3 linked regions of the Caenorhabditis elegans genome follow. The protein of the gene in region 1 interacts with the protein of each later gene in a pairwise test. Each region holds a gene or a part of one and is shown in the gene's direction. Other genes may lie near its edges.

Region 1 (4,814 bases):
GAATCCGTGCGTCTTTAAGTTCACATTATAGTATTATGGTTCCAAACTTAAGGCCACACAATAGTTCAACACACGTCATTTCTAGCTAAAAAATATTATCTTGAATAACTCAATGTTCAATAGGAGAGACGAAAAGATAATTTAATGTATTTTCTGTTGATACTTTTAACTATTAATTTTGTTTATTAAATGTGATAACTTCCACTATTCCATAAGATGGATTCAGTTACATTTTTATTGCATTCAATTGTTGTTTATATTGGTGCGCAAGTCCAATCGAATGCGTTGTCCGTCTATCCTCAAGAGAACCGGTCTTTCCGTTTCCTCGACTTTTATCGATTTTTGCATTGAACTGCGTGTTCGGTTTGATTTAAAAAAGGTTCTGTATTTTTTAATTTATATTTTAAATTTGAATTTTCAAAAAACTTTCCAGCTACATTTCGAGTTCTCGTCTTCTTCAAAATGTCCAATCTTTTTGACAAATAAACTCATGTGCCTGGACCGCACTCAAACAAACGTACATGCAATCTGAATGTTACATCTTTTCTTTATTTATCTCAAAAAATTTGTATTTACCCAAATACTCATTTAAATAGCCACAACATTTTTAGTCATGTTGGTACCCTTGAAAAGGTTGCTCTAAACTTTAAATTGTCAATTTGAAGCTCTATTTGAGATGGGGTGGGCTCTGGGAATCTTGTTATCTGCTCACTGGGTTTTTGTCGGTTTTCTTTCATTCTAAAGCAATTCTGGATATTTTTGAAATTTTGATTTCTGAAAACTTTCCACTTTCCACTTTCCACTAACTACTATCTTTTTTCTTCGTTTTATTTCAAAAAGAAAGAAATAAAGCGAAAAATTATGTTAACCTGTCGCTAAATATCGGAAAATCTCATATTGGCTGGGTACCGCCACGCGATGTATAATTAAAATAAAATTTTAGTGTGTGCGCCTTTAAATGTTACTGTAGAATTTTAACAATGTTTTTTTAACTATAAAAACAATTAATTTTGAGTTAAATAACAAAATAATGGAACATTTTAAAAAAATTAGAAGACACAATAATTTTCTTTCCGCAAATAAAATCGAAGAAAACAAGCCTAGAAATTGTACAGTAACAGGCGCAGACACCAAAACTTTATTTCCAGCGCGCGCGGCGAGACCCATCCGCAGACATGCACCTCCCTTGAAACATGTTTGAATTTTTATTTTTGTTTTGTTTCATTTAAATGCATTTTTGAACATTTTCAGCGATTTTTAAAGATTTTTTCGTCGTAAATTCCGTAATAAATTTTTCAGAAACATGCTCAACCTTTGCCTACATTTTTTCGCATAAAATTTACCATTTTTGAAGAGAATCGCAATTTTAAATGGCATTTGCAACATAAACTATCTGCTCCGCAAGCCTCTTATCATTTTCCCTCGCTTTCTGTAAATAATTGTGTCAAAGCTCTCGTTCTCTCATTCTCTTTCGAAAACGTTCTCTGTCATTTGCTTGCTCGATGTTTTATTTTTCGGCAAAAAAAACCTAGCGCGCAAGGAAAACCCGAGGTCAAAACCAAAAATATTATTCAACACCAAATAGGTATATGATGCGGAAGTCTAATAATTGTTTGGACAACGTCCTTTTCTATTTGCTCACCGAAACGTAACACTGAGCTTCGCGCGCGCGCTTCGTCCACCGCTCTCCACTTATAGTACGAATCTTTATTTCATTTATTGAAATGTTGTCGTTCGTCAAACGTTCTAAACAACCCGCATATTTCAGAATGCCCGGCGAATTTGCAAAGTTTCCGGAGCAATCAGGTATTTTACGAAATAATAATAATTTTTTTTAAAACTATGTTTTTAATTTCAGCTGGATCTCATCAATTTCGTAACCCACTCGATGAACTTACGGGATCAAATACAATAACAAATTTAACTGCACACGATTTTGATTATTTTACACAGTCCGAGAAAAATTCAAATTTATATACAAGTGAAAATACAAGCAATTCTAACAGATTAAATCTCGTAAGTAACATTATTCTTGCTAAATCGATTTTTAAAAATTCGTTTTTTTTTTCAGAATCAAAATATACCGGTCGGCACATTAATAGATGGATTTGAGCTTATTAATGAAGCTTCTGGCTCCGGCTTTTTAGATGATCAATTAGTGGATGTTAGCGATTATAGCCGAGATAGGACGACGAAGCTGGATAGGAATAGGAATTCTCCCGAGCTAATAGTTGCTCTTTTGCAACGAAAAGTTCAAGGAATTCGATTTTCATCGAATTATGGAAGAGAGGAAGAACCATGTGTTATTGAGGTGATTGAAGTGGATTTAAATGAGGAAAATGAGCCAAAAAGACCGAATAGCGATAGTTTTCGGGGAAAAAAACAGAATTTCATCTAAAATCGCCAATTCTCCGTGTCGTAGCTGCCGAAATTTGATTTTTATTTATTTTTTGTCATCTTTAAGTTTTTTAAACGCTTTTTTTGTTGATTTAGGTAATTTTTGAGCCGATAATCGATTGATCAACGGAGAAACAACCAAAATATGAGAAAAAAATCCGGCCGACACTCAAAAGCGTGCATAATTTGATGTTTTAGCTGAAATCATGTTTTTGTAAAGCATTTTGGAGAAGTTTCGTTATGAAATTTGGTCTTTTGCTTATTTTTTCCACAATTAAACATTTTTAATTTTATTTTCTATTTTCAGATCCCACCAGGAACAATGGTTCGCGAAATGGCAGATGATGATTGGAAAATGTCTGAATTAAAAGAATGGTTCACAAAATCAAGAGCTTCTTCGCATTTACGTGATGGATTAGCAATGCCCATGGAGGTATCGTAATTACCCTGATTTTTGCGGCTAAAACTACGGTAGCGGGTCTCGACGCGACAAATTTAAAAGAACTGTAATTCAAAATTTTCGTTCCCGGCGAATTTTCATTGAATTTGTATAGTTTTTCTCCAGAATTCTTGTTTTTTTTTTTGAAAAAACGATTAAAAAATCGATAAAAATTCCAAAAATTTGTCGTTTCGAGATCGGCTACCGTATTTTTGGCACAAAATTTTTCGTCAAATTAATGCCTTTTCAGTTTCTCAATTTTTTTAAATTTCAGGAACTCGACTGCACTCCTCTGATTTGTGCAATGATTACCAGATCCGATGTAATGAGAATAAACCAAGATCAAGCAATGTATATTTATTATCTTTATAAATAAAATTTTTTCCCTTTTCAGACATCTTCTGGCTGTCAGTGTAGAGAAACGAATAGAAGTTTATCAAAATTTCGAATGGTTCAATTTCATTCTGAATCTGAAAATTGGCGATTCTGTTTCTGTGGAAGTGGTAAGTATTTGAAATTATATGTTTCTCAAAGGAATCTAGTTTTTAACCAAAAAAAAAGAAAAATAAAACAACGAATTCAAAATAAAGAGACGCAGACGAGAAATGGGCGTCTCCTTGTATTCAGAATTAGACTGTCACACGTGACTGATTGAAATTCCGATGGCATGACTAACTTATAAGTTTCTTGAAAATAATATAATGGGATAGGAATTAATGGCCCACGAGTCACATTTTTTGCTAGGCCTCTGTAAATTCCGCTCTGACAAAGTCAATTTTCCGGCTTTAATTAAAAAAAAAAACGAATTTTTTTGAAAATCGAAAAAAAATTGGAGTCTCTTGCTCGAATAATGAAATTTTTTTGTTTTTTCGAATGAAATAGTGATTGTGCCTCATCTTAAATAGTTTACTAGTGTCCAAAAAATCGAGAAATTTTCGTTTTTATTTTTTATTCTCAAACTCTCGATTTATATTTATCTCTTCTGGTCCGGGAAAAAATTAAATCCGGGAAAATTTCAAATGTACAAAAAAAATACATCCACATAGATTATGATACTTCTGATAAAGGGTGTCGTTTTTCGGTTTTTCCAAAATAGAAAAATTGGAAATCGAAAAACAAAAATTCTCGATTTTTCGAATTTTTAAAAATTTCGGAAAATCGAAAAATCAAAAAGACAATTTTTTTTCAGAAAATTAACCATAAAATATGATTTTTAAAGTTTAATTTCGTTTACATTGTTGAGAAAAAAACAAAACAATTTATTCTAAAATGAAGAACAATGAACAAAATTTTAAAGCTAATTTTAGAAAAATCGAAAAATGAAATAGAGAACCGGTTCACGATATCATTGACACTGACCGAAATATGTTTTATTGAACAACATCGAGAGGGATTAAGCATACAGTCGGCAGAAAATTGAGAAATTCTTTCAGTTTTAATTTTAATTTGAATCAGAAGCAAGGGCGTCGGGTTTTCAATTTTTGAAAAAACTAAAAATCGAAAAATCGAAAACTTTTTAGAAAAATCGAAAAATGAAAAGTTTTCGATTTTTCGATTTTTAGTTTTTTCAAAAATTGAAAACCCGACGCCCTTGCTTCTGATTCAAATTAAAATTAAAACTGAAAGAATTTCTCAATTTTCTGCCGACTGTATGCTTAATCCCTCTCGATGTTGTTCAATAAAACATATTTCGGTCAGTGTCAATGATATCGTGAACCGGTTCTCTATTTAGTTCTTTCTCTCTCTCTTTTCAACACAAAAAACATAGAGTTCCTCTTTCTCTGTGTGAAAGTATAAGTTATCCTCTTCTCTCTCTCTCTCTCTCTCTCTCTAACAAACTATTTGCCTGTTTAGTTGTTTCTTTCTTTCCTCTTCATCGTCTCAACCAACTTGTTTCTCATTTCATTGGCGACGCCCTTCCTTCTCCCAATTTGTTGTCATCGAACTTGAATTGATTGAAACAAAATCAGTTGGACAA
Region 2 (7,384 bases), on another chromosome or scaffold:
TTGTATATTTCATCACTTTTTTCCATTTTTGTTCGTCATATACTCATGTTTCTCATCTCCTTGTGCCGTTTGGCACTCCCGAGACGTTTTCACTGATGAATGCAAAAAGTCATGGCTTTTGGTCTTTTCGAGTGAAATTCGACATTTTATTTTTTTCATTTTTCTCTGATAATGAAACAAAACTTTGATAATGACTCACTTTGCCTAGTTTTGATCAAAATTTTGATAAAATTGAAATTAGTGAGTTTTGTAGAAAATTGGCTTTCAATTTTTAAGTTTCGCGCTGTTTTCGTTAGGGCGCACTTGCACATTGCGATTTATCTTCCGTGGGCACGGTTTCTGAATTTATAGGCGGAGTTTTTTGTTGAATGCTTATTAATAACATATTTTATTATGACGAAAGTTTATATTTGTTTTTAAATATGAATTTATATAAACCAAATTTAGATTAATAGCTTAATGTAAAAGATTTCCTAAAAATAACTTTTCCATAAGATAAACTTCTCCGCAAGTTTGAAAGTCCTCTTAAAATTAATTTTAATTTTGTTTCATTTGAATTAGTTGTCTTTTGCAGCTGTTTGTCAGGATTTCATAACTTATTCAAAGATTTTTTTCTATTTTTCATCCGTCTAATGTTTTGCTCAAATCAAAATTCATAAATAAATATTCTAATATGTATCTTCAAGCCTCTTCCAATTTTTTCTGAAACTCACTAAATATATTAAACACTCCTTCCATGTTTCCTACACATTTCTGACACATCTAAAATCAAACAGATCAGAGATGTGGTCATCGTGAAATTGAAAATATGTTCCTCTTGCTTATGAGTCATCGTGTTGTGTTGACTGCCTACGTCTCTCGTTCTTCATGCATCTTTTGTTTTAGACTTTATACTAATAGTAAAAATTCTAGAATGCGTTTCATTAGACAGAAACTGTTTTCAAAAACACCTTTGAATTCTGTTAGAATAATTTTAAATTATTCAACACTCTATCCACAGCTTTTATGTTCAAACGAAACTTAACGGTGTCCATCTATGTCTCCGCGATTTCTGAAGGTCACACTCCAAGGTGGCAAGGATGTAAATGAAGACAGGCACAATTGGAAAGTGGTCACCTCCTTCTGTTCATCCTCCTTTCGTTCCAAAAAGTCAATCGTCTCACCTCAATTGGTCTGTCGCTTCTCAAATTCTCTACCCGTTTGACTTTTATTTAAAATTGTTTACTTCACTCTAAATTTTAATATTTTTCAATTTTAAATTGTCTTAAATCCGTTCTTAAAATTTTGGTTTTCATCGAGAAACTTTCATTCATCTCCTCTAGTTCATAATTCCTACTCATCAATCTTTTCATTTCGCTCGATGAATTCACTACCTTCTATTATAAACGAAATTACCGGATTACTCTCTCTCTTTTACTCTTCAACTGTAATAAAAAAGCGACAAGTTGGTCGAAAACGACATTTATAATCCCCTCTCCTGTTTCTTAGACTTTTTGTTTCCCATATTCCCCATTTCTCGGAATTATGTCTGTTTTTTTCAGTAAATACGCCGGTGGTTCATTATGGCGTTCCACTGGCAATCAAAAGTCAATGTTCAGCATGTCGGGGTCGATGACATGGTCCTTCTGCCAAAACTCACAGAGCAAAGTATCGTTGAAAATTTAAAGAAGAGGCTTCAAGCTAACAGTATTTTTGTAAGTTTAGAAGCTTTTCTATCAATTGTTATATTTTTTTGCTGGTTCAAGAAACTTAATCGCTAAAGTTAATTTTAAAGCCTAACCAATAATTAATGTTTCATATTTCAGACATATATTGGTCCTGTACTGATATCGGTAAATCCCTTCAAACAAATGCCATATTTTACGGAGAAAGAAATGCTTCTATATCAGGGAGCTGCTCAATATGAAAATGCGCCACATATCTATGCATTGGCTGATAACATGTACAGGTAAGATAGTTTTCAATGTAATGAAAAATGTTTTTAAAAAAGTTGAAAATTCAGAAATATGCTCATTGATAACGAGTCCCAATGTGTTATTATATCTGGAGAATCCGGTGCCGGTAAAACAGTCAACGCGAAGTTCATTATGAATTATATTTCTCGTATTTCGGGAGGAGGGCAGAAAGTTCAGGTAAATTTACTGATTAGAGGTATGATTTTGAAACTATGAATTTTCAGCACATCAAAGATGTTATTTTGCAATCAAATCCACTTCTCGAAGCTTTCGGAAACAGTGCAACAGTCCGTAACTGGAACAGTTCGAGATTTGGAAAATACGTAGAAATTGTGTTCAGTCGAGGTGGAGAACCTATTGGTGGAAAAGTAGGTTTTTAATAGTTTTTTTGCTAATTTTTCACAAACAATTTTTCAGCTTTCCAACTTTCTTTTGGAAAAGTCTCGAGTTGTTCATCAAAATGAAGGAGATCGAAACTTCCATGTTTTTTATCAATTATGCGCTGGCGCAGACAAGAACTTGAGAAGTACTTTCGGAATTGGAGAACTTCAATATTACAACTATTTAAATATGAGTGGAGTTTTCAAAGCAGACGATACGGACGATGGGAAGGAATTTGAGAGCACCCTGGTAAGATTTATGATCAGACAAATCGATTTTGTACAACAAGAACTCAGAAATTATTTTCCCCGTTTTATATAAAATATTATATTTTCCAGCACGCAATGAAAGTTGTCGGTGTTAATGATCAAGATCAATTAGAAGTTTTGCGAATTGTGGCAACTGTTCTCCATATCGGAAATATCACTTTCACCGAGGAGAATAATTTTGCTGCAGTTAGTGGAAAAGATTGTGAGTTACTGTTTTAAGATATATCACTTTACATTTAATTATTTAGATCTTGAATATCCTGCCTTCCTTCTGGGACTCACTAGTGCAGACATTGAGGCAAAGCTTACTGGTCGTAAAATGGAGAGCAAGTGAGCAGTTTCACATTAGTTTCAAATATTTCAATTTATTTTCAGATGGGGTACACAAAAGGAAGAAATCGATATGAAGCTTAACGTTGAGCAGGCGAGCTATACCAGAGACGCATGGGTTAAAGCAATTTACGCAAGATTATTCGATTATCTTGGTTAGCTTATTCATTTAAAATTTCTTTCCATGTATAAAAAATTACAGTAAAAAAAGTGAATGACGCAATGAATATCACTTCACAATCGACTTCAGACAACTTTTCTGTTGGAATTCTTGATATCTACGGTTTCGAAATTTTCAACAATAATGGATTTGAACAATTTTGGTAAGTTTAAGTTATTCTACTGAAATGATTGACCCAGTTTGTCTAAAAACCGAATTGTTCCTATTTTTGTTTTTGGAAAACCTTAATATTGATGAAATTAATACGAATTTCAGTATCAACTTTGTCAATGAAAAACTTCAACAAATCTTCATCGAATTAACGCTAAAAGCAGAACAGGAAGAATATGTTCGTGAAGGAATCAAATGGACAGAAATCGATTATTTCGATAACAAAATCGTGTGTGATCTGATTGAAACGAAGCGTCCACCTGGAATAATGAGCCTTCTTGATGATACATGTGCTCAAAATCATGGACAACGAGAAGGTGTCGATCGTCAATTGCTCACGACTCTTTCGAAATCATTTGCTGGACATCCCCATTTCGGCCCTGGCTCAGATTCATTCGTTATCAAACATTATGCTGGAGATGTTACATATAATGTAGATGGATTCTGTGATAGAAACAGAGATGTTCTTTATCCAGATCTTATTCTACTCATGCAAAAGTCTTCACGGTAAGGTTTTAATTTTCTAAATGTGTGTTTTGTTTTATTATTTCATTTGGTTTTTTTTTTCAGCCCATTCATTCAAGCTTTATTCCCTGAAAATGTAGCTGCGTCAGCTGGAAAACGACCAACAACATTCTCAACTAAGATTCGAGTATGTTTTAGTAATAAAATGTCAACATTTTTAATTTTAATTGCAGACTCAAGCTAATACTCTTGTGGAATCCCTGATGAAATGCTCACCTCATTACGTACGATGTATCAAGCCAAATGAAACAAAACGACCAAATGATTGGGAAGAGAGTCGAGTGAAGCATCAGGTTGAATATTTGGGTCTTCGTGAGAATATTCGAGTGAGAAGAGCTGGTTTTGCATATCGAAGAGCTTTCGACAAATTTGCCCAACGATATGCCATCGTCTCTCCTCAAACGTGGCCATGTTTCCAAGGAGATCAGCAAAGAGCTTGTGAGATAATCTGCGATTCAGTTCATATGGAAAAGAATCAGTATCAGATGGGAAAAACTAAGATATTTGTAAAGAATCCCGAATCGGTATGTTTTTCTAAATCAAAATATCGAAATGCAATAGATACATTCCAGCTGTTTTTATTGGAAGAGACTCGTGAACGCAAGTTTGATGGTTACGCAAGAGTCATTCAAAAAGCCTGGAGACAATTCTCGGCTAGAAAGCAGCACATTAAGCAAAAGGTAAAATCCAACAAAAATAAAAAATTGAATAAACATAAATTCTTATTTCAGGAGCAAGCTGCCGACCTCATGTATGGAAAAAAGGAACGCCGTCGCTACTCATTAAACCGAAACTTTGTCGGAGATTACATTGGATTAGAGCATCATCCGACACTTCAGTCCCTGGTTGGCAAGCGTCAGAGAGTGCTGTTTGCATGCACTGCTAACAAATATGATAGAAAGTTTAGGGTACGGTAAATTTGAGTTTAATTATTAGTCATCAATCGTTTATGTTTAGGTGACAAAACTTGATTTACTTTTGACTGTCAATCATTTGACTCTTATTGGAAAAGAAAAAGTGAAGAATGGTCCCGAAAAGGGGAAGATCGTTGAAGTTATCAAAAGGTATGATTTTTCCATTTTATTAAGATTAGTTTAAAATTAAAATTTCAGACAATTTGATCTACCTCAAATCAAATCAATTGGTCTATCTCCATATCAAGACGATTTTGTGATATTATATCTGGGAAACGATGATTATTCTTCTCTTCTCGAAACACCATTCAAAACTGAATTCTGTACAGCTCTCTCGTAAGCGCATTATATTGATTTGACTAATTCAAAGTTACGTATTCTTCAATTTTAGAAAAGCATATAAAGAACGAACAAACGGTACTCTTCATCTCGATTTCCGTAGTTCTCATGTTGTTAGTTACAAAAAGATGAAATTCGATTTCTCCGATGGAAAACGAACGGTTCAGTTTGGAAACGATGGAACTTCGTCTGCAGAGAAGACATTGAAACCAAATGGAAAAGTTTTGAATGTTAGCATTGGTACTGGATTACCGAATACTACAAGTGAGTCGAGAATGTTTGAAAAAATTATCTTAATTGTAACTAATCAGAACAAAAAACTTATTAAAGATGGATCAATGTGGAAATTGCTTTAAAACTTGCCTATAGCACCACAATCAAGGCTGGGACCAAAAAAATTTTAATTTGTGAAAAAACAAAAAAAAAGTCGACTTTTGGTATATTTTGAACTTTTTAGAAAAAAATCATTGAAAACCATTAAGGAACACATTTTGCTTTAAAAAATTGTAAATCCCAAAATACCCCAAAATACCCCAAAATACTCAAAATACCAACAAAAAAACCAAAAAAAGCCCTGACCACAATGACCAAATATCATAGTAAAAAGTTCAAAAAATGTTTTAATTTTCATGATTTTTTGAAATTTGAAAAAGTCTCAGTTTTTCCACTTTGTTGGAAGTCGTCGATCAAAAAATGTTATCCTGTTAATTTGACGGTCGTATGTTTTAAACATTACTATTCAAACATTGTAGGGATGCGACAGTGATATAGTTTTCTCAAAAAGTGGCAAAAACTCGGTTATTGTCACTTTTTGACTTTCAATTTTTTCTTTTGAAAAGTTTTCCTATGATATTTGGTTATTTTGGAACCATGTTTAACTATTTCCAAACTGGCGCTACTCCACCTTTGTAACTGTAGTGGCGTGTAACTTCTTTAAATAATATAGAAGTTACGAATAAAATTTGAATCTTCAGGGCCATCAACTGAACGTCCACAAGGTGGGTACACCCCGCGAAGAGATCAATTGAGAACATCAACACGACGAACGAAACAGAATAATCAAAGTTATGGACAAAATGGCCAATCTCAGGCAATGAGAGCTCCGGTAAGATTTTCAAAATTAATTCCATTGTAATTTAGATTTTCAAATTTCAGGTTCCCGCTCATGGAATGAATAACAATTACAATCAGACACCAGCTCCAGTATCGACTAATCATCAATATAGCCAAGAACCTGCGCGAATTCCAGTGATGGGAAACGTCATAAATCAGTTGAATAACATGAATCTATCTGGAAACGGAAACTCTCCAGCTGGACGAGGACCTCCGCCAGCGCGTGGACCAAAACCTCCTCCACCAGCAAAGCCAAAGCTTAATCCTGTCGTTATTGCTGTCTATCCATATGAAGCTCAAGATGTTGATGAGCTCAGCTTTGAAGCTGGAGCTGAAATTGAACTCATGAACAAAGGTTTGTCATAACTATAAGAATACTATTTTTTTAAATATTTGTGATTTCAGATGCTTCTGGATGGTGGCAAGGAAAAGTGAACAATCGAGTTGGTCTTTTCCCCGGAAATTATGTCAAAGAATAATTTCATTTTTTATTGCACGATCTCCCCCTCATTTCCCCAATATCTGTGAAATGCCTGTTTGTGAACATTGATTACGAGTTGTACTATATTTCTTTAAATATTTTATATTAGCATCCTTTACTCATCAAATACTTACTTCTGTTTATAAACCACAATGGTGTAATTTCATGTTAAATTGTTACTATATTGTTTAAAATAAATCGGAAGACTACTTTTTTCTCGTCAAGTATTTCTACAAGAAAAGTATACACACCAGGGATGGATCAATAAAACTATTTTCAAATTTAGGTTTTGGATCAGTTCACAAAACTTGCTACCATATATCCTACTTTTTATGCACGGAATATATATTTACATACAAACTTTCATGTTTTACGAGCTCGATAATAACAAATACAGAATCTTAGACCTTATGCAACGTTTTCGATGAAAACTTTACGAACATTTTTTTCAATTCACCTCCAAACCGAAAATTCATTAAAAATGTTTTTGTTTCTATTAATCTTCGTGCTTCCTCGGCTCATTACTGCTAATTTGAAGATGATGGTAGTATACGGTGAAACAGATGAATACAATAATCACTCAGAAATTCAAGAAAATTGGGACAATTGTCTGGTAAAATGCTACTGGGATGACGATTGTTTAGTGAGTTATTGTATTGGATTAAGGTTTGGTACGGTATACATGAAATTTTTCAAGAAAAAAAAACGTTCCATGTTCTTAAATTTAAACCTGAAAAAAGTGTCTC
Region 3 (3,530 bases), on another chromosome or scaffold:
ATATCCTCTTTTCTTTTTTGTATCTTGATAGTAATCTCTAGTGTTGGTTTTCATCTTATCGCAACTTCTCCATAAATGTATAGTTACCAAAACAATATTATGATAAATACTGAAGTTGAAAGAAAAACATAAGCACTCCAGCGGAGAGTTTGCTTAAGAAAGTTTTTCCAAAAAATAGTTTTCAAGAAGTTTGTGATGATAGTTGAACTAGAGCAATGTTTTAAGGAGCGGTACTGTTCAAATAAAGAAATTAGAGACAGGCTATTGCCTACAAAAGCTGATCAAAAAAATTAAACATTTGATGTTTTACGAAACTTTGCTTAAAAGCATATCTTGTCATTATTTTTTCTTGAGTCGTAAACTAATCAAAGTATTTTAAGTATGAATGAACATTTGTTATCAACATCTATAAACATTGACCAAAATTTTGAAACTTATTAATAATTTTGATTTGAATACTTATATCATCAACACGCCCATGAAACAATATTGAGAATTTTTATTATAGGAATATCAGAAAAAACAAGCGCAAACCATCACATAACGATTGTTGATTTTTTTTTTTGAAAACTTCGATTTATGGCAGCACATAAGCAAAAATCTAACTCACAATTTATTGACAGCTTCATTATCCATAGTCATGTCGGTAATTTTGACAACTTCTGACAGCAGATCCATAATCGATTTTGACGCCTCACTCATGTCTACAATAAACCAGAATTAATGATAAATGACAGGAAACGTATTGGAGATAAAATGTTGATGAGACGGACACATTAGCGAGAGGTGGGGTAAAAACGTAACGTTGTCAAGAATAAAGACAAATTGTGGTTGACAGACAGTATCGGTGCACGCAACGCAAGTGGTTGTAAATGATGTGCGCAGTTTGGGCGAGTCAATCGAATACTTTTTTGTGTGCAAGCGTTCGTTGCGTAATGAGCGCAACTGTGCGGTGAGATGGGAAGGTCAGCCGATATTCAGTCACGATATGAGTTGCAACAGATGCCGTTTCCCACATATTGGATTATTCGCCCATTGTTCTCCTCTTTCTTGCTCTTAATGTTGCCTAATCGTTTTTTTTTGTGTTCTCAATCTTACAAGTTAATGCATTTTTTATTGTTTTTTTCTCAGAAGCAAAGTTGCGTTATATAGTAACCAAATTTGAATTATGCTTTTTTTCAATTAAATCTGAAGATAGTGGACAGTCACTTTTTTGAAGAAGCCTGTAGAAACAACAGAACAAAATTAAATGGTGCAATTTTTTCTGATTTCACTGTTAAGCTGCAGTTTTTAGTTATTAGTTTTGCAGTCAACAAAGATTATCTGCCAAACTTGGAAGGGTGTCAATGTTCCCATTGCTACATGTTGTTTTCCTCTGACGATTTATGGGTTGAAGAGTCGGGAAAGGAGTGGGATGAGAGTCTAATGTCGCGTTAGCAATATCGATCGATATAAATAAGTGTAAAAATATCTAATTCCTCGTTTTCTTCATTTTGTATTTGAACGAATGGTCTTCTGTTTACACTCTCAATTATTCTCCGTCTCGAAAACAACTGTTTGGACTTTTTTTTTTCAATCTTACTCTTTTGTTCCACATTTTTTTAACGTTCTCAATTTTTCAACTGGTTATACAATACCTATAATTTTTTTTAAATTTCAGTACAACAATGTCGTGTTGCAATGACTTCTCCTACTCCAACGCTGGAATCTATAGGCAAGCGATGGAGGATATCATGTTTACCCCGAACAAAGATAAAAAGAAGTCAGCCTTTCATGATGAAACTTTAAATAGCCTCCGAAAAGTGAGCAGATTGGTGCAGAAGTTTGAAAGTGGCGGAACTGACGATGAGACTGTTGATGAGACCGAAAAAGAAGAGCAAGGAGAAGATGTGTGCGATGGTCCTGTGTTCAGGAAGGAGTCTTTTCTGAAACAGAGCCAAAATGAAGAAGAAGAAGAAAAGGCAGATGTTCAAGAAAATTTTGACGAGCAGGAGAATGCTAAAAATGAAAACGACGAGGTGTTCTATGAAAACGAGAACGAAGCAAAGGAACTAGTCGAGACCCCCATTCTCCGATCTTTGTCCCGCCAATTTTCTGGCCTAACGATTATCAAGTCTCACATCAAAAAAGACAATCTCGATGTGGAGAGTAGATCTCCAGCTCGTCGTGAGACGAGAATCATGTCAAGAAGAAAACAAGAATCGTCAGTGTCGTCATGCTCATCGGAGAGCTCTCATTGCTCCGCTTCATCGTCTCTCAGTAAGACGGAAAAACCAGAACCTGAGAATAGCAACTTCGTAAACGAACTGTACTACTGCAAATTGGCGAGATCTCAAGTTCACCACAAGTTTGAAGCATACTTCAAGTGGAAATCAGAGAGTAAGCATTTCTAAATTTTGAACATAAATTTTATTAGAGAAACTGATGTTTAATGGCAAGCGGAACTGTTTATCAACATGCAAGCAAAATTTATATTTCGTTTAGAGCAGTGTCTAATTATCACTAATATTGTTTAATTTTCAGCACTCCGATCAATTGCGGCATCGGTTTCACAGATGCGCTTGGACACATTGAATTCGATCATTGCACCACACGATGAACGCGTAAATGTTCTCAAGACAATCTATGAAAATTGCAAGAAGGGAGTAAACAAAGAAATGGATGCACTGTGCTGTGCTCTTTTTGATCTTCTTGATGATGTCGATGAGAAGTCATTATCGATTCACGAGGAATACGTTGCTGCCAAGTACCATAAAAAGTTGCAAAGTCAAAACTGTTAGTGGATATTTTGACATAGTCTTTTTTAATCTTTAGCTATTCCACCGCCTACTTCTTGTCAAATTTCTGAAGTTTTAATGTCTACCTGAATCTCGTTGTTTCACATTGTTTTTTTGTTTTCCTTTTGATCCTTCAATATTTTCTTTTTTTTTTCGTTTTAAAACATGTTTTGAATTGCCAATTCATGGTAAAGTTTTAATAAACAATCATAGTCAGTAATTAAATTTGGATAGTATTTGTCAATAGTTAGTCAAACTTGTCATAAATGTGTGGACAAAATAAAAACAATAATGAATATATTATTGGGCATAATACAGAAAAAGGGATGAGCTGAATTCTATTATATATAGTGATCTATGTTGACTTTTGATATTAATTGCCTAACATCTAAAATCTTTGATATTTGATAAATTTCCACTGAACACTGAACCTACTTAAGGCTATTCACAACAACAAATTGAAAAAGCATTCAGACACAATTTAGGCACGTTTCGCGCAACAATTTAACCACAAAATGTTCATAAATCTAAATTCTCGAAATTGGTTCTGCAAAATTGAAAAAAAAAAAATTAAGTGCCTGATAATTTATTTTGAATATTAATCGTTTGAAATGATAATGTTCCGCGCTTTCCAGCGGACGAAAACCGGGTTTCTACTTATTTTTTAATTTCCATCTTTTTGTTGCTCAGGTTGTCGTAGTTGGTTGAAATTCCTGATTAAATGTTCAAATATTATTCTAAGATTTCACGTCA

Evidence for each region.
Region 2: the proteins of cyld-1 (region 1) and hum-1 interact in a two-hybrid assay, tested with the Caenorhabditis elegans proteins (one large-scale study listed by BioGRID).
Region 3: the proteins of cyld-1 (region 1) and F17A2.13 interact in a two-hybrid assay, tested with the Caenorhabditis elegans proteins (one large-scale study listed by BioGRID).

The regions. Positions count from the first base shown.
Region 1 is NC_003281.10:9,907,613-9,912,426, reverse strand, and holds the start of cyld-1 (ubiquitinyl hydrolase 1), read left to right. Parts: upstream 1-1,768; 5' UTR 1,769-1,769; coding exon 1,770-1,806; intron 1,807-1,858; coding exon 1,859-2,016; intron 2,017-2,071; coding exon 2,072-2,311; intron 2,312-2,704; coding exon 2,705-2,830; intron 2,831-3,110; coding exon 3,111-3,187; intron 3,188-3,230; coding exon 3,231-3,339; intron 3,340-4,814.
Region 2 is NC_003279.8:8,845,274-8,852,657, reverse strand, and holds hum-1 (Unconventional myosin-Ie), read left to right. Parts: upstream 1-1,541; 5' UTR 1,542-1,562; coding exon 1,563-1,694; intron 1,695-1,805; coding exon 1,806-1,948; intron 1,949-2,002; coding exon 2,003-2,132; intron 2,133-2,179; coding exon 2,180-2,323; intron 2,324-2,372; coding exon 2,373-2,585; intron 2,586-2,674; coding exon 2,675-2,807; intron 2,808-2,853; coding exon 2,854-2,935; intron 2,936-2,980; coding exon 2,981-3,090; intron 3,091-3,137; coding exon 3,138-3,258; intron 3,259-3,371; coding exon 3,372-3,773; intron 3,774-3,836; coding exon 3,837-3,918; intron 3,919-3,964; coding exon 3,965-4,315; intron 4,316-4,363; coding exon 4,364-4,471; intron 4,472-4,522; coding exon 4,523-4,699; intron 4,700-4,748; coding exon 4,749-4,855; intron 4,856-4,903; coding exon 4,904-5,041; intron 5,042-5,096; coding exon 5,097-5,308; intron 5,309-6,018; coding exon 6,019-6,149; intron 6,150-6,199; coding exon 6,200-6,512; intron 6,513-6,562; and 3 more. Other genes in the region: F29D10.3 (PAN-3 domain-containing protein), read left to right, coding at 7,177-7,281.
Region 3 is NC_003284.9:12,319,999-12,323,528, forward strand, and holds F17A2.13 (uncharacterized protein), read left to right. Parts: upstream 1-1,658; 5' UTR 1,659-1,667; coding exon 1,668-2,379; intron 2,380-2,523; coding exon 2,524-2,780; 3' UTR 2,781-2,995; downstream 2,996-3,530. Other genes in the region: Homeobox protein ceh-40, read right to left, coding at 611-702.